4 linked regions of the Lonchura striata genome follow. The protein of the gene in region 1 purifies or fractionates together with the protein of each later gene. This does not show direct contact. Links are inferred from orthologs where the notes say so. Each region holds a gene or a part of one and is shown on either strand. Other genes may lie near its edges.

Region 1 (7,511 bases):
TGCTGACATTCTGATGTCTGATTTGTCCACTGGTGCTAAACTCTGCAGTCATTGCAATAGGAAGGGAAGATTTGGAACTTTGCTGAACAAGAGGAAAAAAAAAAAACCTTTTAAGTTTTCAGTGGAGACCTTTCATGGTGCCAATAGCTAGGAATCCATTTCATCTTAAATCAAAGCTGTCATAGGAGAGCCAATAGAATCTGAAAATTAGGGCTATGCCTTTCATGGGTTTTACATTACTCATTTTGAACAGAGCTGAGAGAAGCTTGGCATGAAGCCACTGTCCAGAACAATGTAGGGAAGCATATGTGGTTTGAGAATTACTCAATACCATTTGGGCCTTCAGTTTTTCCTGTCTTTCAGTCCAAGAAGATCCAGGATTCAGTTTTCTCTGCAGTTAAGAGACTCTACACAGTCTTCTTGAAAATCCAAGTTCATATCTGGATATAACTCTTAGCCAAGGGTGGCCAGAGTGTCAAGGTGGTCAAATGCAGTTCCCATAACAAGGTGACACCACCTGAGCAGCGAGAGGGCCCTGCTGGCATGGGAGCACAGGACAGCCCAAACCTCCAGCCCTCGAGGAACTGGGCTCACAGGGACTGCTGGAGGTGACACCCCTGAGCTGCTGTGGGTCCCTGCTGCATTCCCAGGCAGCCTCACCTCAAAGGGGGCTCCTGTGGAAACAGTCACCTCTGTGAGGGTGCTCCCCACCTTCCTGCATTAAAGGGAGACTGGTGAATATTTAGTGTCACCTTCATTCTTTGAAGCTTTTTCTATGGGGGAAGAGTTTGAAAGGTCAATATCCTTGCATTAGACTATTTTGTGCAATGCCAAGGTGAGGGAGTTAAACAAGTGGTTTCATGAGCAGCAGAAGTCAGGAACCCTGCTTTCCTCCAGATTTGGGGAGGGTTTTCTTCTCCTTCTTGCCTCGTTCAGGTGTAGGACCCCAGCACAGGATGATTACCCAAGACTGGATTCTTTCCCTAGGTGGGACAACTACTGGAATATTTTACTCAGAACAATTGCTTTTCCTGGAATTTCCAGCCACCTGCCCAATTCAAACTTGGCTGAGACAGCTACCAAGCTTAAAAATTATTGCAGAATACTGACAGAAAAGGCATAAGCTCCAGTTCTTCAGGAAGTCAAGCTATCTCTGTTTTTCACTTCCCCCATCATCCCAAAGACAGCTGGTGCAGTAACCTCTGGAAATAAAAAACTTGGAGCTTTTGCCCTCCGCTGGCAGGATTCTCACTCTGTCAGAGAAATAAAAACAACAACAACAAAGTCATTCCCTCCTGCAAAACTCAACAGGATGCTTCTCCAGCTTGCACACAAAGATGTCTTTGCCCAAACAGGAACACAGGACTCAAAGCAACAAACTGGATTATCAATCCATTACATTTGTGAAAAAATGGAGAATTCAAAAGGGGATCTACCCAGCCGCATTTCCTCAACTCCATGACAATATTTAAGTTACTGGCAGGATAATTTAACGTGAAGGCTTAAATGTCAAGCCAAATATTCTACCTTCTGCTGTTCAGCCTGACTTCAGCAAGCTGTTCTGCAGTAGATTCTAACTCACCCAACTTTCTGCCTGTCCAAAGCAGCCACCTGTGTCTCTGCAGTGCTCTTGTGTGGCCTCCTGTGCCCACCAAGGTTTGCTGTGTTTGCTCTCTGCAGGCACAGGTGTTATCCCAGAGCTGGCACACACCATCCATCCCAGGCAGGCACCTCTGTGCCCTTGCATGCCACTCAGATGAATCACAAATGCTCTGTGTGCTGTTCACCTGATAGCTGGAGAAGCACAGAGCACTGGATACATCAGTTGCTTGACCTAATTAACACTGCAGAAAAAAGAGGGGATGGTATTTTGATTCCTCCTGTTCTGACCTAGAAGAAAACCACATAAACACTGCATCTGGGCAGCAAAAATTAACAAACCTATCCCACCTCCCCAAAATGAGACAAATGTTTCCTGAATTAAATTATTTAGTGAGTGGGTTAAATCAGGACTTGACCTACATGATATATTTCCCATGTATGTGTTTGAATCAAAATTTCCAGTAGCTAAACTCTGACTAACCCCACCGCCCAGTGCTCCTTCTTCCCCCTTTTAATTCCTGGCATGTTGGTGATTTTTTTTTTTTTTTTTTTTTTTTTTTTTTTATTCACAACCCAAATATAAGTAAGGCTTTTGACATCCCTGAACTGTGAACAGTGACCGTGGGGACTCACATTAACATTACAGAGCTGTGTCCCCCTCCATAATTTCACTGTCAGGGTGGCTCTGCTGACAAGTGCATACAAAATGGAGAACAGAAAAAACACATGAAACAGGGAAGTGGCAAAGAAACAGGGAAAAATCATGAGGAAGCAAGGCAGACATTTTTCTTAAACAATGAGCTGGAGGAAGAAATAAAATATATTTTCTTATTAGACAATGCAATGATAAAGTTTCCAATAATATTAGCAAAATTCTGCCTTTGAATTCTGGGCAAAACTTATTGTATTACATCAGGTAATTTTGGGTGGACAGACTCTTAACTCTACATCACATGTCACAGTTATACACGATTCAACTCTTGCCATCAAGTGATTTTGTTTCTCTGACTCCAGAATTTCATCCAATCTCCATCTTAGATTTTTAAAGATATTAAATGACAGAACAGAAGGCTTTTGCACAATGTAAATGATCTCACTATTACAGAAGGTAACCTTGTTGACAAGTCTTCATGGTTACTGAGAAAACAACACCAACTCAAACTACAGCTCTGTTTGCCTGCATTTATCACCTGAAAATTCCTTTACAGCAGTGTAAGCTGGACAAGACCCGTAGTTTCAGGCTTCAGTACCACACGTGGCTAAGCTGATGAAAGAGCTGGTTATCCAGAAAGAGAAGCCTGGCTCCCCTGCTTTCCTTTCCCTGTGTGGTCCTGTCCCTTTTGGCAGCAGCAGGCTGATAGATTAGCTCACCACACCTTGGAGAACCTCACCCAGTGGCTCAGTCTTGAGTCTCAAGCCTTGTCCCCGTCTCAAGAGAACAGTTTAAGTTTCAGTACACACTGAAACAAAGCCCAGATAAATGATGAATAAGAGATTCTGTGTTTACTTTCATAGGAGGACTTAGCAGAACAGAAAAAGCCATAACCACTGAGAGTCCAGACTAGATCCAAAAAGAGATTCAGAAAGAAAACTGCAATATTCATAGTCAAACCAAACTAAAACAAAGAAACAAAAGCACAATCACTGAGACCTGTTTGTTCTGATACCACAGCAGGGACTCCAGCATTAGATTTACTGTCTTGTACACATACACATCCCCAGCCACTCCAAACCACAGCAGGGCGAGGTGTGTCTGACATCCTTGAGCACAATCACCCTTTTCAAGGCAAGGTCATACATGCAAAACTAACAGCAAGAGTTTGCAAATTAAAGGTGTTAAGAATCCTAACATACCAAGAAGTAGTTACTTTATAGGTGCAAGCAGTGGTAACTTTTAAGTGTTTACTCCTGTGGGCTTCAATGACTTACACCACCATAGGAGAGGGTGCCACTTTGTGTAGAGAAGGGGTTTGATATGGGAAGCCAAATGTTTTAAAAGCAAGCTTCCGTGACCCATTCAGAATGTGTGTATCTTGCTAACAATTCACCTTTCTAAAGCTTGAGATTAAAAGCTAAGTGGCCTGAACATGAATTATTTTCTGTGATATTCTGTACTTACTGTCTGGTGAAGACACCATGGGTTCCACTCCAAAGTCAGCTTAATCTGCCGCACTTAATAACTTTAGACTTATGCATGTACTGGAAAGCAAACACATCTGTGTCTTTGATACTGCAAGGCCTTTTGAGCAGTATTGAGACGCAGCTTATTCTCAAAAAACACAGAGAACGATCAGGACACTGGGAAATGTGTGCAGCGCGAGCTTAGCTCTCCTCAACACCTCTGGAAGGGAACAAACCATCCTCGGGAAGTTTAGAAACAATTCACACCAACTCGCAAGCTTCCGCAAGCATTCTCATCGATTCTCCTTTTGTTTTTTCACTTTCGGAACACCTCGGGGAGAAGCGAGGCGCTCGCTGAGGCGCGGGCGGTTCGCGCCGCCCTCCGCGCCGCTCTCGCGAGACGCCGCCGCGCGGGCTCCATCTTGGGCATCGGTGCGCGGAGCTCCGCGGGCGCGGCCGTGCCGGGCCGTGCCGGGACAGCGGGGACAGCGGGGCCGGCGCTGTTTGCGCTGTGTACGAGGTCGCAGCGAGGGGCGGAGGCGGTGGCTGCGGCGCCGCCTGCGCCGTCCCACCTGCGGCGGCAGCGTGTCCCCGCCCCGCGCGCCGGCGCCCCCGCCTCGCTCGCCGCTCGGCCGCACGACCGCCGGCCGCGCCTCTCGGGGCCATCCAGCCCCTCGCGGCGCTGCCCGCGGAGGGAGAGAGGGAGGGAGAGCGGCGGGGGAAGGCGGGGACACGGCCGCGCTCGGCCTCGCCCCCCGCGGCTGCGGCAGCGGGGCGGGGCGGGAGCGGCCGGCGGCGGCAGCGGGGGCGTCGCTGCTGCGGGGCCGCCCCCGCCCGGAGCGCCGAGGGGAGGGAGCGAAAGGAGGAAGGAAGGAAGGAAGGAAGAAGTCGCTGGTGCCGCTGCAGGAGCAGGAGGAGGTAGTGGCGGCGGCGGTGCTGCTGCAGCCGCAGGCAGAGCCTCCCCCTCCCGCCGGGCCGGGCGGGGCGGGCTCCGCAACCGAGATGTCTCAGGAGCGGCCCAAGTTCTACCGGCAGGAGCTGAACAAGACGGTGTGGGAGGTGCCCGAGCGCTACCAGAACCTCTCCCCGGTCGGCTCCGGGGCCTACGGCTCGGTGTGGTGAGCGCAGGGAGGGGACGGGGCAGTGCGGGGGAGGTCGCGTTAGGTCGCTGCCCCGCCGCCCTGCCGGGTCCGTGCGGGGCGGGCACCGCGGCGAGCGGGGCTGCTCCGTGCCCCGGGGGTTCCTGTCCCCCCGGCCTCCTGCAAGAGACACTTCTCCTCCCGGGTTTACGCGCGGTGCTGCCGGGAAGCCGCAGTCTCGTCTTTGGAATGCGTCGGGGATTGCACCACATGGCAGGTGGCTCCGAAACATTTTTGCAGGGGAAGATAATAATGTGTCCTTGCCGGCTCCCCCCCGTCCCGCCCCGAATGAGCTCATATGGATATATTTCAGTGACTTACGGACATATTTCACTGTGATTTCTTGCAGTTTGTAGGTGGGCAGTGCAGAGGGATGCAGCCTGGAAAGCCCCCCCCGCCATAGGTGGCTTTGCAGAGCTAAGGGCTTGGCAGCTCTTGTCCCAGTTTTCTTTCTGGACCTGAAGAATAAATTGTATTTGAGTCAGTTGTATTTTCATCCGGAATTTGTTGATAGGCAAGAAATAGAATGTAGGGAGGGCTGTTTTTGTATTCCTGACTTGTTAATAGTGGATTTACAAGCACCGATATTTTATTGGCAATAATAGATGAACACAGGAGGACTCGTTTTATTGCTATAGAATTACTGCAGCATGTGCTCCCTGGGAGAGTAAAGTCCTGCTATGAGACCTGCAGGAATACAGGGAGCTTGAAGAGTTTAGTTTTTAATGCTTACCTAATAGGAACAAACCAGGCTGCATGTGTGAGATACAATGCGTCCTTAATTTGTAGCTTCTCTGCTGGACTGCGGTGGATCATTAAACATAAATAGAGCTGCATGCTTGGCTTAACCTTAAAGACAAGGTAGTATTTGAATCGGTTTGACTCTTAGACTTTAGCAGTCATTTAGTTAAATGTGCACAGATTACTGCCTCCTTTGATTAAGAAACATCTTCCACCTGAGTCTTTGGGTTTTATTCTGTGTTCTTTGCTTCTGTCAAAGTGTGAGCAGAATTTTGAAATATGGGTGCATAATTACAAAGCTGCTTTGCTGTTTTGTTGGAGCAGGCATGCATATGTGTTTATTAATGTATGCAAATTTACATTATGGGTATCAGTTTTATTATAAGGAGGGACACATGCTGCATTCTCTTAGTACAGAAAATAAGCTCCTTTGGACATGCTACAGTTTTAATGAAATGCTCAGCTGTTCTTAACCTGTTATAAAATTGTTGGTAGAGTTGAGCTTAAATAACTTGCATTTTTTAAAATGCTGTGATTGAAGTGTGCAGAGGCTTGCATTTCATAAAAGTAAACCAGGCTGGTCAATTTTGTAGTGAGAATAACCAGTATATTTGCTGAGGTGTGTTTTTGGTTTGTTTCTTGTTTTTTTTTTTTTTTTTTTTTTTTTTTTAATATAATTATAGAATAATTTTGATTGGAAAGGAATAGACAGGTTTCTTTTGGTGAAAGAAGAACCTTGTTGACACAGCTGATAAATACCCCTGTCGGTGTCACAGAGTTATGCAACTTCTGAAATGTAATGGGAAATAAATTTGCTTGGTGCCTTGTCCTTTGTATTTTAAGGTTGATTCTACATCATATACCCCACTCCTATTTTCTTTTCTCCCTCCCTGTAAACTCCACTGTATAAGTAATAGTTGCAAAGTTTGTTTTCAACCAGTAACTAAAGACTTTGCATCATGAATTTCCTGTTCTGCTGTGTCAAAACTTTGAAAGATTGTGCAACTTTATTCAGACCAAGTGAAACAGTTTTGTATTGGAAGCAATTTCAGACATGTGGCAGACTTTTTTTACAGTCCATGTTAATGGCTTCCTGTATGTTCTTCTAAAAATAGTTTTCAGAAAAGATATAGTGATATGGAAAGTATGTCAAAATTGAAAAATTCAAGAAAACGACAAAAACTTTTGCATATTTATGGATGCTTATTAAGCTACAAGTGGTGATGCATATTACTTACGGTATTCCTGCGAGGACTTATTCTGCTCTGTCCCTTTAGAGATTTTTTTCCTCTCCAGTAAAAAGCCACCTAATTTCATTTGGTGTTTGGTGTATCCCTGTTGGGATAGTACATAGTGGTGTTTTAACAATCCTTAAAATGGTAAATCTATTTTCATGTATGTTCACTATTATTATATTCAAATGTAATCAAATGCTCTGTTGTTTAAGTTGTCAAAATGAGGCATTTGAAAATGAGGCATCTCCAGAAAGTGGAGGGGAAAATGAATAAAAAAGGAAGCATTAAGCTGCCAGATGAGTCACTTAGACTATGGAGCTGTTGTAAGCTGCTTTGAATATGGCTTGGAACTCCCTAATACACAAACCTGACAACTGGGGAGTCAGTGGATGGAGGGAGAGGCATTTTCTGCAGGACTGCCTGAAGTGAGAGCAAATATTGCAGTGTTTTCTGAGGGGTGGTGTGCAGTGTTGCAAGAATGAGGTTCAAATGGCCAGCTCAAGTATTTTTCAGGATCTATTTTTTAAGAACTACAAGTGTTAGAGATACAAATAGGGATTTGTTTCCAAAACTTAGAGAAAAATCTACGCATATCCTCAGATTGATTCTTCCTAAGTCACGTAACAATTGCCATGGCACCTGTTGTAGGAAATGCTGTTTCATTCATTCTTGC
Region 2 (6,918 bases), on another chromosome or scaffold:
TATTTCGCAAGATGTTTCCCTGGCAAACCACTCCTTTCCACCACACAGAAATCATGATGACGTTACTCAGGCTGTCATTTATCTTTCTCCTGTTTAATCACTGCTAACTGATTAACCAAATGAAGTGCCACAAAATCCATTAGCTGGAAAAGGAACAAGAAGCTGCACTAGCTTTTAGTAATAAAGAAAGAGAAACCTTTGTAAACAAGGTGCATGACCTTCTCTTGAAATTAGCCAGCTATTTCCTCTCCCTGGCCCCCAAGAACAGGAGCAGTGAGGGGTGACACACTTGCAGGCACTCCTGCCAGAAGTGAGGCTTGAACAGGTAGGACAGGGGGGAGTGTCAAAGTTCAAGGGCTGTTGCATAGCTGGTTGGATAGCCACCACAATATCTTTTGCCCTTGTTTTACCCCATATAGACACTTCTTATCTCATAAGCCTCATAAGGAGGCACAAGACAGGAATGTTAACCTTAACTCTTTCAGTACCATTTTCTCAAAAACAAACAGTGAACTTAGGCCAAAAAGTCCATCACCAGAAGTGTAGCAAAATACATTTCAGACTTGACAGACTTTAAAAACTTGGGAATGAGAGGTCAGCAGCCAGGGACACCAGCAAAGCCAGGCACTCTCTCTCCCAGATGGTTCAGGGGGTTGCCAAAGACACTCTCCTGGTTTGCACCTGCAGTTCAGATCATTTCCAGGAGCTTGCTGCACAAGTGGTAGAGAGGAATGAAAGGCTCTCAGAGGGGGAAAAAAAGAGTTAAGTGATGTTAAGACTCTGACATGCAAAGGCGTTTCTGCTCCTACAGAAGTGGCCCTGGCCAGCTGAGGGATGTCAGCTGCCAACACATTCACAGTTTGGCCACTGCAAACAGGAGGCAAAGGATACAGCTCCTACTCTCAGTGAAGAGAGGTCTGATGCTGCTGTCTTTGAGTCTTCCTGACTCCTGCTTTGTCTTCAGGTTAGCAATGAATCTGTCCAGTTTCACTCTGCAATGTTCTCCCAGATCAGATTTTTACCTCAAGCCTGGCTGAAAAGAAAAAGTTATTCTTAGTAATAATTTCAATGTGCAGGAATTAATTGTGATGCCACTGGTTTTGTCACATCTTTTATTACATTAGGAAAATAAAAATCCTGACTCTATACTGAAAAAGCTTTCATTTGCTGTTCTAGTACAAACTTTTCTGCATATATCTTTTTTTAGCTAAAAAGAAAAATATTTTCAAAATATCCCAAGTAATTCTTATTGTTACAGCTTTACAGTCAGGAATTTTTCACAGTCCCACAATTTAAACAAAACCTAAACCTGTTACATATGGTGCTAGTGAGTTGAGATGAGAAAAGGGAAGAGAGAATTGAAATGTCTTTCCTCCTCACCATGCAGCTCTCACCACTGCTCCCCACTTCTCTTTGTGAGGATAACCATGCTGGAACTATTTGTTCCTGCAATTTTCTGGAATGAAAGAGCTGGGGCACTGGCTGTCACCTCCAGTTTCTCTGGCACCCTCTCTGATCCCCTTTGTCAAAATGGGTCACTTCTAGCTCCATTAATCAGCAGTTAATTGTGCAGATTTTTAATGCTGTGGGCACTTTTGGGGTTTGAGAAAGGCATCTTTGGGACCACTGCTTTATTGAGACGGAAGGGCAAAACTGCTTTTCAGCTACTGGAAAAGGATACGTGCAAAACAGTGAACATCCCAATGTTAATTGCTTTACTATAATTTCTTCACTGCTTTTGATATTTTGTCTCTTCTGTGGAGCTTGGGCTTCTCTCTTGCCTGCATGCTCTGCACTCCCTCACACAGGAGTTCAGTACAGATGCCAACAAAGTGTTGTTATGAGATAGCTCACAACTCCTTAGCACGAGGGCATCATCAAGGTGGTTCTTGGTCAATATTGACAGCACAGAGCCCCCTCTCCCCCCATATAATGTATTGAGTTACCTTCTTCCTGAAACACCAAACACCCAAACCATTTTACTGTGAGCGACAGCTATGTGCTTTTCCAACGGCACTTTGGAAGAGACAGCCACCAAGAACATAAGGACCTATGCAGTTAATCCTCTTTCTCATGCTGTCTTCCAAGGGTTTCTGGCACAGGGATTCAAAACTGTCAGAGGTGATGGAGTTTGAATTCTGGTGTGCAAGCTGTCCTGCATGTCCTGCAGCGCCAGCAGGTAACGTGCCATCATAGTAATGATGCTTCTAAGGAAGAAAGAGGACCAGAAGATTCTGTCATGCCTGGAAGAGGGATGCACGACAGGTAGGACCCATGCAGCCCCTGAAGGATGTACTTTACCAGTTAGGCTTGGTAGTAGCCATAACAGATACATGTCAGGCAAAAGTAACATGTACTTGTGTGGATCTGCATAAATTTTCACTGTATGGCTTCAGATTTTTAAATTTATTTAAGGTTATTTAAAGGTCAAAGGCCCCCAGTGTTCCACATGACCCAGAGGGTGCTCTGCCCACCTCAGTGACAGGGGTTGGAACTGGATGACTTTAAGTTCCTTTCCCTTCCCTCAAACACTGTGGTTGTGTCATCCAGTAACACTACCACAGGAGGATGTGACCCTTCACACCCAGGTGGTTCTACACCGCAATGCACAGCGGCACACTGCAAAAGCAAAGGCCAGGGCGGTATTTACGGATGCCCCCTCAGCTGGTTCAGGGAGGAGAGGGCGAGGAGAGGGATGGCCGAGCGGACAAGGCTGCGGGCCCGAGGCGCTGCGAGGCGCCACCGGCCCGGCGGGCTCCGGGCCGAGCGGGGAAGGGGCGGCGGGCCGGGGGGGCCCTGTGGAGAAGCCGGAGCGGGGCGAGGGCCGCGGGGCGGCTCGGTTGAATCGCTCCGCGGCCGCGCTCCTCCCAGGGGCCGCGGCAGCCGGGCAGCAGGCTGCGGAAAGTGAGATAACCCCCATCCGGCCCCCGCCATCGCCTCCCGCCGCCGGGATCCTCTCTCACTGCTCCTCCTCTTTCTCCTTCACCCTCTCCCCCCACCTTCACCCTCCGGCTGAGTTCATTCACTGTGATTGGTTTCAAATGACGCCATCGCTTTATATTTACACCAATGACCTCATCCCAGCAGCTTGAAGTTTACGGACCAGCAAAACTCTTTTCTCTCGCTCGTTCCTCTCCTTGTGCTTGCTCTTCCCGAGTGTTTGTAGTCGCTTCTGTCATTCTGGGATCCTAAGGCTTAAAAACAAAACCAAACCAATAACCCCAAACACAAAGACCAAACGCGCGCACAAAAAACCCCAACCCCCCAAACTTTTTCCGTCCTCCCGAGCTTTTCTCTCTGTGTGTCCCCCTTATTACTGTCCCTTTTGAATTTTTTCAAGCCATCTTGGGGAAAGAGAGGGAAAAGAGAGTTCCAAAGCCCCAAATATTTCCTTTTTCTTCTCCTCTCCCCTCCCACTTTCACGCTTCCCACCCTTTAAAAAAAACAAAAAAACCCAATATATTTTTTCTTTTCTAATTTTTAAATTTGCTGGGGCTTGGTTGTTGTTTTTGGGAGGGCCTTTTTTTCTTTGGGTTCCCCCCCCCCCCCCCCCCCCCCCCCCCCCATTGAAGAAGTAGGAAAAAGAGGCACTTTCCCAGGGACTGGAAGAAGACAAAGTTGTTTCGGGCAGCAGCGGCGAGGCTGGTGGGCAATTGATTTTATCCTTGCCGAGGGGACAGGCAGCCAGACTGGCAGGGGTGACACAGTAAGTGCCGGAGCAGCGCAGGGGGACCCCGATCCAGGGCCGCACCGGGGAAGCCAAGCCGGGAGGGAGGCGAGGGGCGCGGGGGGGCCCGGCCGGGCCGGGCCGGGCTGGGCGGGGAGGAGGGGGAGGGAGGTGAGGGAGAGGCGGGCGGCGGGAGCCCTCCCTCCCTCCTCCCCATGCCCTTCCCCGCCGCCCCCTCACCTCCGGAGGAGAGCGCCCGCAGTGGACAGGTCGCTGCCCCGGCCCGGGCGGGCTCCGGCCGCCTCCGCAGGCGGTAAGAACGGGGGCCGGAGGGAGGGGGAACGGCACAGACACCGCACGGCACCGGCGGCCGCCCCGCGCTGCCCTCCCTACCTGCTGCCGGCACCCTGCTGCCCGCGGCGGCTCCTGCCCCCCGTCCCTTCCCTGTCCTCCTCCCGACATCCACCTGCCTCTCCCCGTGCGGGGAGGAAGCCGGGCGCCGCCGGAGCGCGGGGCGGGAGGAGGCGCCGCCGGGAGAAGCGATGGGAAGGAGCCCGCGGGGGGCTCGGCGCTGCCCGTGAGCCGCGGCGTGCGCGGCCACCCTGCTAGACTTAGCCTGGAGCGCTGGCTCCGAGCGCGCTGCGCAAAACGCTTAAGGATGCTTTAAAGCCCCGGAGGGCTCCCGAAGAAATGCTGAAGTTCTGCCTTCGCCTTGGAAAGCGTTTAAATTGAGGCGACTGACAAAATGGAGGGCTGCCGCGGCGTCCAGGAGGGAGGCAAATTGTTAACCTGGCATCGCGCTCGCCTGAGCTCCCAGCCCGGGGCTGGCGCCGGGAAGAGGCCTGACTGATCCCCGCTCCCGGCTTATGTGCCCCGACTCCGGCCCGGGATGCGGGGCTGAGCGCGCATCACCAGGTGTATAGGATGTGCCTATTGCCGAGCCTGACCAATAGCAGGATTTTTCAGCGGCTAAAAAACATTTGGTTGTATGCCAGATGAGAAGCTGGGATTTTTAATTTTTTTTTAAAAAAATATTTTAATTTTTATTTTTTAAGAAAAGGAAACCCAGGAGAATTTACCATCATTTCAGCTGGTTGAAATATAAAATAAATTTCTTTGGTTCTCCTTCAAATGAAGGGTGTAGTGATAGCGAGCTATATTGTCTGACCAATGACTAATTTTTCTGTTCAAACATTCAGTGTATACCTAGCAGAATAAATAGATCTGTTGTAGTTTTGAAACATAAAAGCAGATTGAACTGCTTCTCTTTGCAGGGACGTTTGTTGGGGTTCTTAAAAGAGAAAATCCCAACCAAAACCCAAGAATGATTTTGTAATCCTTGCTCTGAGATTTATGCTATTCCTGGAAGTGTGTGGTTTGTTAGATACAGAGTTTACAAAGTCACAACTGACCAAACAGGAGTTGGTTTAGACTCTTGTGTTTTGAGAGGAGGTGGAAAAATAGTAAGTCTTAATTTCTTTTTATAGTGTTCATCCCACTGCTCATTGGAGATTGAAACACAGTTGTTTATGTTGTCTGGGAGTTTCTGTTTGAATGTGGACCGAAGTATGCAGTAGGGAGGTGTACATGTATTTTTAGCTTTCATGTTTAATGACAAAAGATACAAAAAGTAAGGATATTCACAAGTAAATCTTGCATTTACTGAATATGGTCGTTAATATTTTGAGGATGGAATCTATAAGAAATATCTGAGTTGTAGTATGTTCCACTTGTTGTGCTTGTTTCATACAATAGTGCTTTAGTAAATCTTAACAGACAATTTAAAAGTCCCTTTTAGAATGAACAAATACCTAAAAACAGCAGAGAATGTGTCAATTCCTGTGCTACAGATGGTAGCTTCAAAATGCTTTGGTTTAATACATATGGGAAGGTCCAGAAAAACAAACCAAGCATTTAAAAATGTAACATGTTGTATGAAGATACCTGTTAGCTACACAAGCAGATGTAATGGAACAAAATCACACCAGAAAAGCTTCTGTAGAAGACAGCGGGCTCAGTTATCTTGGTTTCTGTAAAAATGCATGCTCCTCTTCTAGCAAGGACAGCTGGCTGGGCAGGGGTGTTTGTTTTTAGCTTGGCTTGACCATGGGGACGGTATCGGCAGAAGCTGTGCAGGAATGTGTTAAATGGATTTCTCTGGGAGCTGTCTCCCAAGCCAACCCCGGCGGGATGCCAGCCCTCAGCCCGTGGGAGGAGTAGTGGTTGTATCTGCCTTGTGCCTGTGTACCTTCCTTGGCAGATCGACTCTGCCAAGGAGCTCTGTGCTGCTGCTCATAGGGGCAGTGAAATCATATGGAGTCACTGGCAACTGGGTGTGAGATGGGCCAGTCGCTCCTCTGCCTATCAGATAAGAGATTCACATAAGCCTTCCAAAGCTCTCAGGGGCTACATTCAGGCTCTCTTTGTAAGGCCGCCCTTCATAAGAAATGTCATATAGACAAGTTAAGTGTTGATTTCTGTTACCTGTATTTATCTCCCAAGTGAGTTCTGTTCCAACACGTTGGGCAGTAAGAGGTGTGTGCAGGGTGAGGGCTTTGCTCCATCACCAGGGTTTTTAAAGTTCAATGCCATAATCCTCACACTGATTCAGCAATATTCGGTTCTCAAAATGCAATTTTGCTAAGAAATACAGTAAGTACAGCTGAAGTATTTTTTCCCCTAAAGAAAAAGGAGGCAGAAGGATGATAGCTTTCACTTTGTAGTATAACAGCTGAATTTTCTAGGACTTTTATTTCTTTTTCCTTTCTGTAGAAGCAGTCAGGAAAGCATCATTGATATTCTTCAAGTGCTGACAGTCTTTAATAGCCAGATGGCATAGAGTAGATACTGTCAAAGGATGAGGTATGGAAGGATTGACACATCCCTTCCTGTTTCTTTTCCATGTTTTTTCCAGCCTTTGAAAGAAACATGGTCTGTGACTCCACTGAATCTGCCCCTATGGATTTGTTGTTATGATAGTGACTAAATGCTTCTTGCAATCTTGTAGTATTTTGTGCATGGTTGTGTAATGCTGAATCCTTCATTATTTAAGAATTTTCAAGAAGCTGGTTTTCTTGGTAATAGGGAAGAAAGCGTGTCCCTAATGTGTCAAATGGTACATTCACTTTCCCTACAATTCCTTAGAGATGGTTTTCAGAATGAGTGTTGCAACATGGAAGATTTCTCTAGAATATTTTAAACTCTGATAAGTACAAATGAGTATTGCTAGTGTTTCTGTGGTTTATTTGTAT
Region 3 (6,825 bases), on another chromosome or scaffold:
AGCAGGTAGTGGCTGGCGGGGCGGAGGTGGGAGTCAGGTGCAGGACACCAAGTCAGCAGAGCTGTGTTAGTCTCCACCACGCTCATCTCAGCTGCTACTGGTGCACTCGGAGGGTCGTGCTTCACACCTGCAAGTTACAGCCCACGCTGACTGCTTGGGGATGGCAGTGAGGTTCTAGGTGGGGTGGTAGAAGTGATAAGTGGGGGTAACAGCCTGTTTCTTTGGGGATTCTCTCTCTGATGGAGAGGATGGTCTTGCTCCCGTGTAGCATGCTGCTGGCTGCAGGGGTTTGTGAATGCCTGTGAGGCTAGGATCCTGGAGTTCTGCTCAAAGCCCCCTTCCCATAAAACACATTGCTGCATCACACCCCCAGCATATTGGCTGCCTATGCCATCCCCTCTTCTGTATCACCCCCCATGAACAGGCAGGAGAGAGGACACAGGACCCCTTCAGGAGCTTACACTTGACTCGGAGCTGGGAGGATGTCTGTGACTCCCCGACAGTGAAGGAGATGATGCCCGCGTCCTGGCGGGTGACGTGCACCAGCACCAGGAGGTGTGTCCTGCTGAAGCTCTTAAGCACGGTGCGGGGTGACTCCCGCAGCTGTAGCCCATCCCGGCTCCAGCAGCTGCCCTCTACCACATCCCGTGTCTCCACACAGAAAACTGCATTCTCCCCCTCCATCACATCCAGCTTCCGTGGCAGTCGCTTCACAATCACCCCTATGGGAAGAGATATATGAGGGCCAGGGAGGAATTCTGGGGACCGGGATGGGGCTCTTTGAGGTGGGAGAGGAGGAGGAGGAGGTTGAGGAGGGGCAGCAGCAGGCACCAGCCAAGTGGAGGGAAGGCAAATGCACGGAGCAGTGAGGACCCTGGCAAGGAGGGGAATAGGAAGGCAAAGCTGTGCCGCTGGAGACATGACGCACCTCGGACAGAGACCTCGGCAATGCTGCGTCCTTTGTCCTTCATCTGGCAGAGGTAGATGCCATCGTCATCGATGCGGGCATCGCGGATGGTCAGGCGCCGCACCACCCCTTGCTCCTCCATCACGTACTTGTGGCTGGGCTGCAGCTCTCTGTCCTCCAGGTACCAGGAGGTGGGGATCGTCTCCAGTGGCACCTGGCACTCCAACACTGCATCCTCCCGCTCTGCTACCTCCACGTCTGCCAGCTGCACCTGGAACCGCAGCCGGTGCTCTGCCACAGGAAGAGACAGGAGCTTAGGGCACGTGGGGTACAGCATCCACTGTCAGCCCTTTGCTCAAGGTGATCCCAGCTCACAAAGAGCAGCAAACTCTTGTCCCTCCTTTGCCCTCTCCTTTGGCTTCCATGAGACAGACACTGCCTTGACAAGCACATATCCCAGAGCAGGGAGGACCAGGGCACAGCCTGGGGAGACACAGGGATGCCTCCAGTATCTCAGCAGGAGTTTTGGGGGATGCAGGGGCATGGAAGCCAGCATACTGCAGCAGGCATCTCAGTGGAGGGGAGCAGTGGGGTGTAGGCAGGGGCTGCACCAGTTCCTGGGTAACCCCAGCCATGGGCTGTCCCCAGCTGGCTGGATGGCTCGGGGGGGAATTGGGCAGCTGCCAGTGCAGACTGTTGGAGCCGTGCCCTGCAGGGCTGGCTGCCAGAATCACTCAGCACTTCCAGGGAAATTTGTCACCAAGGCACTGTCCCTCTTCCCTGTTTGTGGCTGGACACCTGCAGTCATCCGAGAAGCCACACCTCTGTTTGCAAGGAAAGCGAGACACGGAGCAGGACACAGCTCCTGAAGAAGCCCAGCATCCCCTGTTTCCAGCTCACAGCTCTGTCCTGAGGAGCCTGGGGTGACCCTGGCTGCACAGGGCAGGAAGGAGCCCCATGATGCTGGGCTCTCACACAGACACACCCCTGCCAGACAAACTTCCCTGAGCCCCCCAGAGCCTGGCCACCTCTGACACTTCTTGGACGTGTTCCTACCTTTCACCTGCAGCTGCACTGCACTGAGAGTCTGGCCAGCAGTGTTGGAAGCAGTGCACATGTATAGCCCCTGGTCCTGAGGTTTGCAGTACAGCACCTTGAGGATGAAGTAGCCCTCCCGGTCCTCGTAGATGAGATGCCTGCGGCCAGGGGCGAGAGGTTCACCATCTTTCTGCCAGATAATCTCTGGCTTGGGCTTGCCAGTAACATAACAGCGAAACTTGGCATGCTTCCCTGCGCTCACAGCAAATGCCTTGGCCCCTGGCACCCTGGCCGGCACGACGCCATTGGGCACCCAGGTCTCCGGTGCCATGCGCCGTCCCGCTGCGTGCCGCCGCCACCGCTGCCGCTCCGCCAGTACCTCGGGGCCGTGGGCAGGGGAGCCATTGGGGAGCCCATCCAACAGTGCCTGGGGTTCAACCAGGAGCACGGCGGCAGCCAGGGCCTCCTGGGAGCCGCTGCGTGCCCGGCAGACATACACACCCCCATCCTGGGGCCGGGCACCGAACAGCTTCAGGAAGTGCCAGTCCTCTGGTTTCTGCCCCACTGCAAAGTGGCTGCTCTCAAAGAGTTCGGAGAGCTTGTGCCCATCCTTCTCCCACTCCAGCACAGGGCAGGGCTGCCCAGACACCCTGCAGGTGAACATCACATCCTCCCCCCGGCACACCCGCATGGACGAGGGGGCAATGAGGAAGGCAGGTGCGACACTGCCTGAGCATCCCTCCCCCTCTCGCGGCTCTGCTGGCTCTACCCTGAGCACGGTGGCAGCGTAAGTCTCGCCAACACTATTCTTGGCCCTACAGACGTAGAGTCCGCTGTCCTCGGGGGTGGCACAGGACACCAGCAGGCTGTACAGGTCCCCTTTGGACTCCATATGGAAACGGCCCGAGGGCTCGATGGTATTCTTGTCCTTTTCCCAGAGGATGCTTGGCTGGGGATCACCCATGATCTGGCAGCTCAGGACTGCATTGGTGCCACTTTGGACCGTGAAGGCACGTGGATAGGCCAGGAACCTGGGGGCTCCCCCGAACCCCTCCATCACCAACTCCCCAGGCTCACGGCAGACAGCTGGCTGGAGCAGCAGCAGGGATCATCAGCCTGGGGGGATGTACAGACAGACTACAGTGGAGGCTCAGGCTCCATCGAAGAGATGGACCAGTGTGGAGCCCCCAGCTAGGAGGGACCCACAAAATCCCCATCATGGACCTCCTGAGCATCATTGTCATCCAGAGCAGCGCAGTCCCACTGGATTTGTCCCAGTGTCACCCAAACCATCCATTTCCCAGCCCAAGGCAATAGGAGACGTGACAAATTGTGGCTCTTTGCACCCCGGGGGCCTGAGACACTTGCACCCTTTCCCAGGGTTGCAGAGGGGACTCCAGTTCCAGCGGTGGGGGACCCCGGCCTAGACAGGGAGCATAGGCAGCTGCTTGCTGGGTGCTGGGGCTGGGGGACAGCGAAGGCAAAAGGGCCCCCGCCCGCCCCTTCCCCACCCGCCGGGCATTCACATTCCTGCAGTATCGGGTGGTGGCAGAGCCGCATTCCTGCAGCATCTGGGCCGGCTCAGCGGGCAGGTGCTGACACGGGGCTGTCACGGGCGCGAGGCCCCGGCTGGACCCGGGCTGGGACTTCCTCCCGGACTTGGGTGGGCAGGGGACCCCCTGTGCCGGGCGGCCACCCCACAGGGCAAAGTGCCCTGGGGCGAAGTGGGGCTCTGGGGAAGGGGTCCCCGTTCTAGAGAGTAGTCCCACAGGCGGGATCCAGCCCTTGTGCACTCAAAACCATAGCTGGAAATCATCAACCCCAGGGGAAAGCTGAAAGCCAGGGAGGTGGGTCCTGCTATGGAAGGGCACTGTCTCCATCCCCAGCTTTGTGGGTAACCGTGCCCACCACCAGGGCAGGAGCAGGGCAGGGTGCTGTGTGCCTCTCCCCGCTGAGTGCACCCACCCTCTGCCCACACCATGGCTGGGACTGGGGCAGGGTCGTCTCTGACTTGCTCAGGCAGGGGGAGGGGAAACAAAAATACTTCTTGAATGAGCCAGAGGGTAGGAGAGAGCTGGTCCCCAAGGAGCGACAGGGATTGTGGCCAGTTTCTCCTCCCACAGCCCTACCCCTGGGACAGTGAATCTATTCAGATTCATCTCTCCATCCACACGCCCCTGACCCCTGGGCCACCCCACAGCAGCTCCTTTGGACACAAACGGACAGCTCTGATGGCTCGGCTGCACCATTGCACCCTTCAACCACTCCCTTCCCCAACCACCCTCCCTGCCCCAGGCAGTCCCCCAGCCCAGACCCCTGCCCCACACATGTACCTCGTTCTGCCACCTCTCCCCTGTGTCTCTCAGTGTCGGCACCCAGCTCCTGCTTCTTCCCCCAGCTCCCCTTCTGGGTGTCAGTGCGCAGGGACCAAATGTTACAAATGCCTGCAGCTGCTGTCCCCAAAAATACCCTCTGATGACACGCGGGGTTGATAAGAGTGAGCCTGCTCCGTTCAGCGCCTCACCGAGGCTGGGCTGGCCTACCTATGTATAGCAGCCCAGCAGGAGCCACCCCAGAGAGCTGCAGGGGTGCTGCAGGCCCGGCTGTGCCTCTGCGCCGGCTCAGCCAGCAGCGAGAGACAACGTGCCCTGTGGAGAGCGTGGCATGGGGTGCAGGGTGCATGGTGTGCTGTACACTGAGCTGGACACCAGACTGCAGTGAGATAGGACGTGTCACACGGGACATGCTGCATGGGGGGATGTGTTGCATTGGATGCTGCATGAAATGCCAGGCTATATTGGATGGGATGGGCAGGACACTGAGCTGCCAGAGGCACAGAGGGGATGCACAGGCTGCCCACCATCCACAGCACATGCAGCGTTAGTGGATAGGCACTGTCCCCTCAGGCAGTGGTGAGAGGAAGGGGACTGGGTCTCCTTACAGCCAATGTCTCTCCTGCAACTCCCACCCTGTGAGCCAAGCCATGGCTAGACAGCCCAAACAGCACCCTAGGATCCTTCTCCTGGACCTGCTGCAGGGTCTCCAGCTGGCCCACCCCTCTCATTTGTTCTTCTCCCCTTGAAGGTCTCATCTGTTTTTCTCCCCTCTCCAGCCTTCTGCAGCCTCAGGTAGAGCAAGGACCTTTTGCCGTCCCTCTTGCTTCATGTCCCCAGGATCTTGCTAATCATGTCATGGAGATGTCATGGACTGTCATGGAGATGCCACAACCACCCTGTCCCTCAGCTTGCCCTTTCCAAGGCCCCATCCTCACATTTTTGGCTGCCCTGGCGACTGCCACCTGCAAAGCGCCTCCCCCATGCCAGAGCCTCACAGGCCTCTGATCCCCACCAGGTCCTTGCCCAGATTTCCCTGCCGTGCACAACTGCTGTCACTTCCCACTAGCTCCCCAGAAGCCCTAGACCTTCCACTCCTCCGCCATGGGAGGCACCTCGCATCAGCAGCTGCAAAGCTCACCCAGCACCCCCTCCATCCCTGCCAGCTTCGGCTGCCGGCACCACCCTGCCCGCAGCCCGGCCTCCCCAGCCCCACGCACGCACCGCTCCCGGCAGCAGCCCCCACACACACCCCCTGGCCGGGGGCCGGCCCCCCAGACCACACTGTCCTTGCAGTCCTTGCATTCCAGACGTCTCAGCGCTTTCACAGCTCAGAGATAATATTCACGGCGAGCAGACGTTTGCGTCAGTGTCAGCTAGATCTCAATGCCACCCTGTCCCGGGGGGAGCGCTGCGGGCAGACGGGCTGGGCAGGCAGGCAGAAGCCCGCGGCAGAGCCCCCCAGGCCAGCACCCCACCGTGTGCCCCACGGCCATGCTGCTGCTGCTGCACCTGCTGCCTGCCATGCTGCCCACCGCCGCCCTGGCCAGCTGCACCGGGACGGGTGCCGACCGGCAGCTCATCCTGGCCAAGGTGCGGGCTCGGGTGCTGGAACATCTGAGTCCCCCCCTTCTCCAGGAGGAGCCACAGATGGAAGCAAGGAGGGTACACCGGAGAGACGTTCTTGAAAACACTGAAGTGGAGCCGGAGGAGCTGGAGGACACCTCCCAGGTGATCTTATTCCCTGCCACAGGTGAGAACATCCTGATGAAAGGGTGAAGCAGGGTGGGGGTTGGAGTAATGCAGACGCTGAAGGATGGCGAGGCTGATGTGGTGGGAGAAGGGGAAGAAGGTATGCCAGGCTGGGACATGGGCATGAGTGAGATTTGGTGGAGAGCCAGATGGAAAGGTATGGCAGGCATGGACAAGCAGAACAGTTCAGGACAGACAGCAGAGGGACAGGCAGCACAAGAGGGTGCTGAGAGGCTAGGAAACAGCTGGCCAGGCAGGATGTGGAGACATGGAGAGGGATGAGGAGCAGGGTGGAATAGGGTGGGATGCTAGGGAATGGGGCAGGATACTGGAAGGTGGGTTGGGATGCTAAGGGACAGGGCAGGATGCTGAAGCATGCGGCAGGATGACCAGCAATAACAGCAGGAGATGGGGCAGAATGCTGGGGGATGGGATAGGATGCACATGCTGGGGAAAAGGGGGCAGGATGACCAACTATGGGACAGGACTGGGAGATGGGCCAGGATGCAGGGAGATGGTCAGGGTGCAGAGGTGGGGGAAAAGGACAGGATTACCAGCTATGAGGTGAATGCTGGGGGACAGGGCATGATGTGGTCTCTGGGGGAAAGGGGCAAGACAACCAGCTATGGGGGAGGATACTGGGGGACAGGGGTGACAGTAATGGACCAGCCTAGAGCATAGCAGAGATCAGTTGTGGGGCACAGCACAGAAGCTGCTGCACAGCACCGGCTCCTCTGCACCCAGCCACAGCCTATGCCAGCAGCCAGGAGCCCTGCCAGCATTCCAGGGACCTCT
Region 4 (7,602 bases), on another chromosome or scaffold:
CAGCAGTAGTTAAGGCTAAACACAGTCAGTGAGGAATGTGTGAGGGTCAAGGTGGAGTACCTTAGTTTTGTGCTGAAGTGCAGGTGATCCTCTGAGTACGATTAAGGGACTACAGATGTAGAGACATTAGATAGAAATGACATGACATGATGGAACAAGCCTCGTTTATCCCACCCACTTTCTTATTAGACTCAATGAGGGATGACAACAAGCAAAGAACACTACTTCTTTAATAACACGACATACCTGGTCCAAGGAGTAATTAACATGTGAGATGGAAAGGTGTGGGTCAGCCAGAAACTATAAAGATAAAGCAATTAATGAAGATTAATTATCACAACCACTAAATGGTGACGCTACCCAAGGTATGACAGCTACTAGTCTAGCAGAGATTAATCAAAACCTCTAAAATTGAAAACAGAAGCCACAGTAGTCTGAGACAGCACTGGGCTAACAGAGATGGAGCCCTTACAGAATTGAAGGTAGAGAGGATAACACTTAATAGAATGAAAAGTAATTTACAATGGCATCTCACAGGAATAATTTGGAAGGCATTCCTAACGTGGAAAGGAAAATACCTTGTTTCATCTTAGAAACTACTACTAACATATTAATTGCAGAAATTACAAGTTTCCACAATCTGCCAGCAGCACTACAGCCTCTTGTTCTGTATCTCTCTCCTTTACCTCTTGTTCCAGGTCAAGTAGTGCCTGTCGATAAGGCTGCAGCACTGAATCAAGACCTGTGCAGAAGGCTCTCAAATAAATGCCATGCAATCCACTCTGGTTTTGCTGAGATGGATGGTGATCCTGAAACCAAACAATAAAATCTGCCTCAGCATACTCGTGCAAGTCTGAAGAGTAATGTAGTATCTGTGCAGTGCCACAGCAGTTGTCAGTGCTTTAAACCTGTTGAAATGCACCTTAGCTCACCACAAAGTGATCAGAAAAACAAATACAACCTTTTCACAATGACAGTTACTCGAGCAGACTGATGTTTAGTTCTTTTGTGGACCTCTGAAAGTGCTGGGAGCCTTTGGTACCAGTGCTTCTTTTCACTTAAGTGTGCCTCTTGGATCTCAAGGCTCTTCGCACATCATGAGGAGATAGTCATGAGCATCCCGCTCAATTGACAAACCCTGGCCAGTCTGCTGTGGTCAGAAATTATTACAAGACGTCCCCAATAATAAGATTTTACATTTGATTCATTATTCTTCATTGCTCTCTACCCTCCCTTACAAGCATCGCGAAGAGCTTTCTGGAGCTCTGCTCGGTGGTGGTGCGAGCGCGGGTATGGGCCACGGACCACTGCTGTGTCCTGGGCAGCTTGGCCTTACTGGCACCTGCCGCGCTCTTCCCGGGCAATACCTCGGCCCAGTGACCCCACCTGCTGCTGTACATGTCCCGTGTACTGCTCCACGAATTCGGCGAAGCGGATGTAGTCGGTGCCGAGGCGGCAGAGCCGGTTAAGGACGCTGGTCTCGCTGGGGTGCAGAAACGGCAGCTCCTGAGACACCTGGAAGAGAAAACAGCGGTGAGGAACGAATGGGCGGACGGACGAGCCGCGCAGGCCGGGGGGTGGGGGGCAGGGGGCAGGCGGGGCGGGGTGGGCTTTGCCGGGGCCGTGCCACACCTGGAGGCCGCCGCGCTTGCTCCAGGTGAAGGCCGCCCCCGGGTAGCCGCTGAGGGCCAGCAGCAGCTCGTGGATCATCCTGCGGCGCGGCGCCGCGCGGGCTGCCGGGAGCGGCGGGGCCGCCGGGAGCGCCGGGCGGGGCTGCGGCGTGCAGCGCCGCCGAGGCTCTGATGGCCACCGTCCGTCCCGGACAGCAGAGCTGCGCTGCCCTCTACGATACGCCTCACGAGGTTTCTTTATCGCTTTCTCAGGTTATTTGTCAGTGTTTTATCAGCGCCAGTTTTACCTTTCTCCATTTATTATGTACTGCTTTCCTTCACTTCCTGTCGTAATCCGGGTAGACTTTTATTCAAAACTGTCTAGTTTGAAAACTATGAAGTCATTTAATAAAGTGTTTTTTAGCAGCCTCTTTTTCATTTACCCCCCCTATTTTTGACAGTTTTTTCCTCTATGTACATGTTTACTCTTCTTCATTTAGAAGAAATTGGTGTTTAGTCTTAAGGGTCATCTAATTTGTATTTGTTTCAGCTTGCCACAATAAGGTCTGAAGGGTAGGAAGAATATGGGCATGTACTAGCTATAGCTATACAGCTTTATGTGTAAATTGGAAGCCCCAACATTGTTGTTTATCATATATGAGGAGTATAATAAAACTATTGTCTTTCTGTTGACAAAACTTCTAGCATCATAATAAAGACTGAGGAGTTGGCCTAGACATTTGTTATGCATCCTTGACATAAATATCACAGTATACAATTGGTCTGGAAACCTCTGCAAAAGAACAGATAACAGTAGTTTATTTAAAGGATTTCGGTGCTCATTTTCTCTGGGAAACCTAGTGATTAGTCATTAAAGCAAAAATCTTAAAAGAATTTTTTGGTTGCTCAAATTTTGAAATGAGAGAAAAATAGGTATCTCTATGATATTTGCAGGGCCATCTGACTAGTGCTCATTAAACACTAGGGGGGAAAAAGACAAGGAACAGGATAGGCAATAAATTAGGCACACAGATACACAACTTTTAATAAAAACATTTTGCAAAGTCGATAACAAGCACCAGAAATCTTAAATCAGGGGAGCTGTTATAGGTACCATTGAGTCCAGCTTTGAAGAGGTTCAGAAAGGTTCTTTGATGACATGTAATAATCGTGTTTTATTTTTCTTATCAGAATGAGATGTTTTTGAGGGAGGTTTGTGGCACTGTGCAAAAATGTTACGAGATTTTTAGGGGGAACAAAATGAATTCTGCACGCCACATTCTACATATAAACATTATTTTAAATGTCTTCTCATTGCATAACTTACAAGTGGCTACATGTGAAGTAATGCAAATGTTAATAAATAGAATCCTAACTGTATTATAAAACCTTTTGTTTTGTAATTTATGTCTGGCATTTCCCAATGTAGTTATTTCTGTAACCATTGAATTATGTCTTCCTTTAATCAATTCAGTTCTCTAAGATTGTTGAGTCCAACCAATGATCGAATGCCACTTTGTCAGCTAGATCAAAGCACTAAGTGCCACATCCAATCTTTCCTCTAACACTTACAGGATGATGTCTCCACCACGTTCCTTGGCAGCCCATTCCAATATCTCACCACCCCTCCTGTGAAGAAATTCTTCCTAATGTCCAAGCTAAACCTGCCCTGGCACAGCTTTAGGCTGTGTCTTCTTGTCCTGTTCCATGTTACCTGTGTATATATAGTAAGTAAATATACTTTTTGATGGGCTCATGGAATCACTGATTTTGGAAGTGACCTCTAGAAGTCTCCAGTCCCACCTTGTTTTCTCAATACCAGGTGAACTCAAGCAGGTTTGTCCAGGACTATGCCTAGTTAGGCTTGAATTTTCTCCAAGGACAGAGACTCCATAACTTCTCTAGGTAACTTGTTCCAGTGTTGAGTCACCTTCAGAATACAACTATTTTTTATTCTATTGAAATGGGACTTTTTATATTTTTCAGTCCATTGCCCACTGCTTCTTGGCATGTTCTCTCGTGCTCTCCTCATATGTCAGATGCTCCAAGCCCTTAATCAATTTCACTGTAGTTGTTCCATTATGTCCATGTCTTCCTTGTACTGAGGGAGCTGAAACTGAATCCACATCTGGGAAGATGAGAATGATAGATTGACTCCTTTGCCTGCTGGGGATGCTTTTCCTAACAGAGGCTATTGGTTTTCCAAATTACTTAATGTGTACTTAGGTAGTAAATGTATGCCCTAGCAGTGAAATTCATGTGACTAATTAAAATGGACACCTGGTGACTGACACTGTCAGTACTCTGACCCTTGAACAAGAAATAGGCAAAGCAACAGTAATATGTACTGAGGGGAAGGAAGTTTTCAGGGCATGATTCTCCTGTGGCAGTGCTGCTGGATGTTGCTATTGTTTAGGGGCTTCCACTGCTTCCACTTGTGGTTGACATTTCATATGAGTTACCATGGTTTGGTCAGTAGAGCTGTTTATGCTACATCCAGCAAGGCCAGGTTTTGCTACTGTGAAGGGCTATGCAGCTGAGGAACCTGGCAGGGCAAGAGGGCTTAGGCGAAGCAGCATGTGGGAGGCAGCCGGGCTTTGGAGGCTGAGCTGTACTGCACACAGTGGGGCGCACGTGGGCTGCGCACACATGGCTGGGCTGAGAGGGTAAAATGTGGGTCATGACCAGGTTGACCTGGGCTGTGTCCCGCGTATGCTGGCAGAGTTTAGGTGAGAGCTTAGCTGGGTGTTAGTTATGAGGCTAACAGACAGATTCAGAGCCAGGGCGCTGGCCCTGTGAGAGGGAGAGGGACCCCGGGGAGAGACAAGACGGCCAAGCCGTGTCCTTCAGGTTTACGGGACGGGCCGAGCTAGATTGGGGCCTGGGTCCGGCCGGAACGGGACTGCGCAACTCATCCTTTCCAGCAGCGCCGAAGGTGGCGGGGACGCCTCGGGTGCGGCCGGGGCGGGGAGAGAGAGCGCGGCGGGGCGACTCCTCCCCCGCCACACCCGGTGCGGCAGGAAGAGGAACAGCCGCGCCCAGCTCCCGCTAGCCCCAGCCCAGCGCAGCGCCATGGCGGCGGAGGACGTGGACGGGCTGGCCGTGTCCCGGCCCCACTATGGCTGTAAGTATCGGGATCCCGGGGTGAGGGAATCCGCGTGGCCGCCAAGCGACGCCCAGTCCGAGCCGTCCGTGCTTTCCAGCGTTCAGCGCTGTGAGGGGAGGCTGGGCCACCGCAGGCATGGGGGGAGCCGCGGGCTCCGGGACTGCCCCTCGGGCACGGTGTGCCCCGCCGGCTCTCCTGGCGGGCCCTGTCGAGCTGCGCCTCCCGCGAGATGAGCGCCGTGCCGCGCGGGACCTTGTCTAAGCTCGACAGTCCTCCTGAGGGTTGGAGACGAGTGCTGGGAGAAGGCAGTGGATGAGCAGCAACGCGACGTCCCATGACTGTGCGGCCGTCGTCTGCCGCGGGCGAGCCTTGCACCTCGCCCAAGATGTCCGCCGCGGGCGGGGTGGGGCGGGGGCGGCCCTGCCTTCCGCCTTCCCGCCGATTTTGGCGACCACACCCGATTTTCTGGGCGAAACACCGCTCCCATTTGACACCTTCATTGCCTTGTCGTGGGCTTGCTATGGAGAGGGAGGCTTTGGATCTTAGCGTCCGATGTGCGGGCTCACCTACGCTACTATACCGCGTCAAAAATGACCAACGGCGGAGGAAAACGTGGTGCTGTGGAGGGGCGATGTTGTAAGCGACAGTCGGTCCGACCTGGTCTTTTAACATTCCAGGGATGGGGCTGCCACAGCTTCTCTGCCTCACTATCTTCTTGGTTCAAGAATTTCTTCCTGTCATCTGCTCTAAATCTCTCCACTTCTAGTTTTAAACTGTTCCCCTTTGTCCTATCAGCATTTCCCTCTTCCTTTTATAAGCTCCCTTTTAAGTACAGAGAGACCACAGAGAAAGCCCTCTCCAGGCTGAGCAACCCGTACTGTCTCAGCCTGCCTCTGTGGGAGAGGTGTTCCAGGCCCCGGAGCATCTTTGTTGCCCACCTCTGGACGTGCTCTAGCAGGTTTTGTGCTGAAGATGCCAGTGTTCCTGCTGGGGTCTCACAAGTGCACCATAGATTGTTGTTGAAATTATCTTAGGTATAAGCTAACCTTTGCTTTATTAACAGTATGAAACATTTCCTATTTGTTAAATTGGTCCATGATACCTAAAAAAGTTGACATGAGATGTATTTAGCTGTAAGTATGGGAAGAGAAGACTTTTTTACTGAGACTTTGAACACACAAAATCTAGAAGATTTAGGCATATTACCCCTATGTAGGTCTTTAGCGTGATCCAAAGATGGCATGTAGGTTGGGAATCTGAATGATTCCCTTCCATGTAGGGAGTGTGAGTAGCATTTCTACCTTGCTTTAGAGGTGGACTATAAAGATATAGAGGGGGTTATATGATGTTAATATGTATTTGTGTCCTTCCTTAATCTTTTGCTATCAAAATTGGAGGATTGGTGAGGGGACAAGTGGTCACTGATGTGCTTTTGAGGAAGACAAAGGCAAAGGTAGAAGAAAATAAGAAAATAAAAGATTGTTTCTAAGAAGTTGTAAGAGGGATGCTGTGAATTTGAGAAATCAGGAAGAAGGAAGCTGGCAAATTTATGTGACAAGGATAAGGAAATTGAGTGTTTTCTCTTGCTAGTAAAGAACAAGTAATCAGATCCTTAGTTTGCTGAATTAAAAAAAAACAACCGTGATGAGTTTCTGTGGGAGAGGTTGGATCTGATTTTTGATGTGCCTGTTCCATTACATTCAATGTTCAACCATCTGAGGGCTGTGTTTCATTTATTTTCAGCTGTTTTGGATAATGAGAGATTAACAGCAGAGGAAATGGATGAAAGGCGACGCCAGAATGTAGCCTATGAATACCTTTGTCATCTGGAGGAAGCAAAGAGGTGAGAATAATTGATTTGGAAAGTGGTGGTGCTTTAAAAGAAGATGTGACCTTTGGTATGGGGAATAATTTGGATGCATATTACCTCTTGTCTTGGTTTCTTAGTGGCTATATAGTTTCACTAGAAAAAACAACCAACCAAAAAAAAAATCAAAGAAACTCCCTTCCTCTGTGAAAAAAAAACAACTGACCTCTGATATGTGTTTCTAAGGTTCTCAAAGACTTCATGACAAGGACTACGTACCTGTTTGTTCTGTTATTCCTAGCACTGGATGGGTTCTCCTGATGCCATGATGATTTTTTACTTTTTCTTTTTATGTACCACTTATATATTCCCAACACCCTTAACGTGTGCATTTGTAATTCTTTGAGTCTGTAATACCTTAGCATAGTTCTGGTATTCTGTTAAGCCAGAAGACCAAACATCCTGAAGGCCTTGCAGTGGGAGGCTGAAAAACCTTACGGTATCTTGAAAAACCAAGACCCCCTCTAAAACATGTCCTGTAAACTAAAATTAAGTCCATCTGAGAGAAAATACTTGACGATAAGAACATTCACACTGTTCATTTAAACCTCTAATTGAAGCATCAATTTTAAATATACTAATTTACAAAGTCCATAAAATTGTATATGCAATCTACTGTGTGTGTACGTTTCTACTTATTCCACCTTGGTGAATTAGTGTGCCATAGAAATACTTATTAGATACCGAGATAAAAAAGCCCTTTATCCCTTAACTGTATCTAACTCTTAATGCCCAAGAAAAGGCATCACTTCCTGTTGTCTAACTTGTATATGTCTGGTGCAGTATTGCCTCCTGGCTTAGCAGTGCACATGAAAAATTGTTACTCCCTTCCTCTTAACTGAAGCCTTTTACAAATTTAAATTGCAGCAGTGTATATTCCTTGCACACTGAGAACTCAATTCTTGCGTATTTCTCCATGCATCCATCTATTTAATAGATCTGTAGTACTTTTCCCTGGGTTGCTTAGACTTCTCTCCAGGCACTCAGTGTCTTTCTGGAAATCCTCTGCCAAAAGAGAG

What was found.
Region 2: the proteins of MAPK14 (region 1) and DUSP16 purify together in Homo sapiens (affinity purification with mass spectrometry; 7 studies listed by BioGRID and IntAct, counting the BioPlex papers as one, with this or other methods). This does not show direct contact. The link is inferred for Lonchura striata from reciprocal best matches to the Homo sapiens genes MAPK14 and DUSP16.
Region 3: the proteins of MAPK14 (region 1) and OBSL1 purify together in Homo sapiens (affinity purification with mass spectrometry; 6 studies listed by BioGRID and IntAct, counting the BioPlex papers as one, with this or other methods). This does not show direct contact. The link is inferred for Lonchura striata from reciprocal best matches to the Homo sapiens genes MAPK14 and OBSL1.
Region 4: the proteins of MAPK14 (region 1) and IQGAP1 purify together in Homo sapiens (affinity purification with mass spectrometry; 3 studies listed by BioGRID and IntAct, counting the BioPlex papers as one, with this or other methods). This does not show direct contact. The link is inferred for Lonchura striata from reciprocal best matches to the Homo sapiens genes MAPK14 and IQGAP1.

The regions. Positions count from the first base shown.
Region 1 is NC_134632.1:4,665,588-4,673,098, forward strand, and holds the start of MAPK14 (mitogen-activated protein kinase 14), read left to right. Parts: upstream 1-4,504; 5' UTR 4,505-4,725; coding exon 4,726-4,841; intron 4,842-5,290; exon of another isoform or gene 5,291-5,320; intron 5,321-6,841; exon of another isoform or gene 6,842-6,938; intron 6,939-7,511. UniProt on the Homo sapiens protein: Serine/threonine kinase which acts as an essential component of the MAP kinase signal transduction pathway.
Region 2 is NC_134607.1:10,378,296-10,385,213, reverse strand, and holds the start of DUSP16 (dual specificity protein phosphatase 16), read left to right. Parts: upstream 1-3,900; 5' UTR 3,901-3,980; intron 3,981-4,060; exon of another isoform or gene 4,061-4,283; intron 4,284-4,456; exon of another isoform or gene 4,457-4,577; intron 4,578-6,918. UniProt on the Homo sapiens protein: Dual specificity protein phosphatase involved in the inactivation of MAP kinases. Dephosphorylates MAPK10 bound to ARRB2.
Region 3 is NC_134610.1:16,234,777-16,241,601, forward strand, and holds the start of OBSL1 (obscurin-like protein 1), read right to left. Parts: upstream 3,003-6,825; coding exon 1,964-3,002; intron 1,199-1,963; coding exon 929-1,198; intron 723-928; coding exon 462-722; intron 128-461; coding exon 1-127. Other genes in the region: INHA (inhibin alpha chain), read left to right, coding at 5,665-6,031. UniProt on the Homo sapiens protein: Core component of the 3M complex, a complex required to regulate microtubule dynamics and genome integrity. It is unclear how the 3M complex regulates microtubules, it could act by controlling the level of a microtubule stabilizer.
Region 4 is NC_134613.1:24,619,051-24,626,652, forward strand, and holds the start of IQGAP1 (ras GTPase-activating-like protein IQGAP1), read left to right. Parts: upstream 1-4,590; 5' UTR 4,591-4,682; coding exon 4,683-4,734; intron 4,735-6,459; coding exon 6,460-6,559; intron 6,560-7,602. Other genes in the region: TUBGCP4 (gamma-tubulin complex component 4), read right to left, coding at 247-300, 687-809, 1,387-1,515, 1,633-1,710. UniProt on the Homo sapiens protein: Plays a crucial role in regulating the dynamics and assembly of the actin cytoskeleton.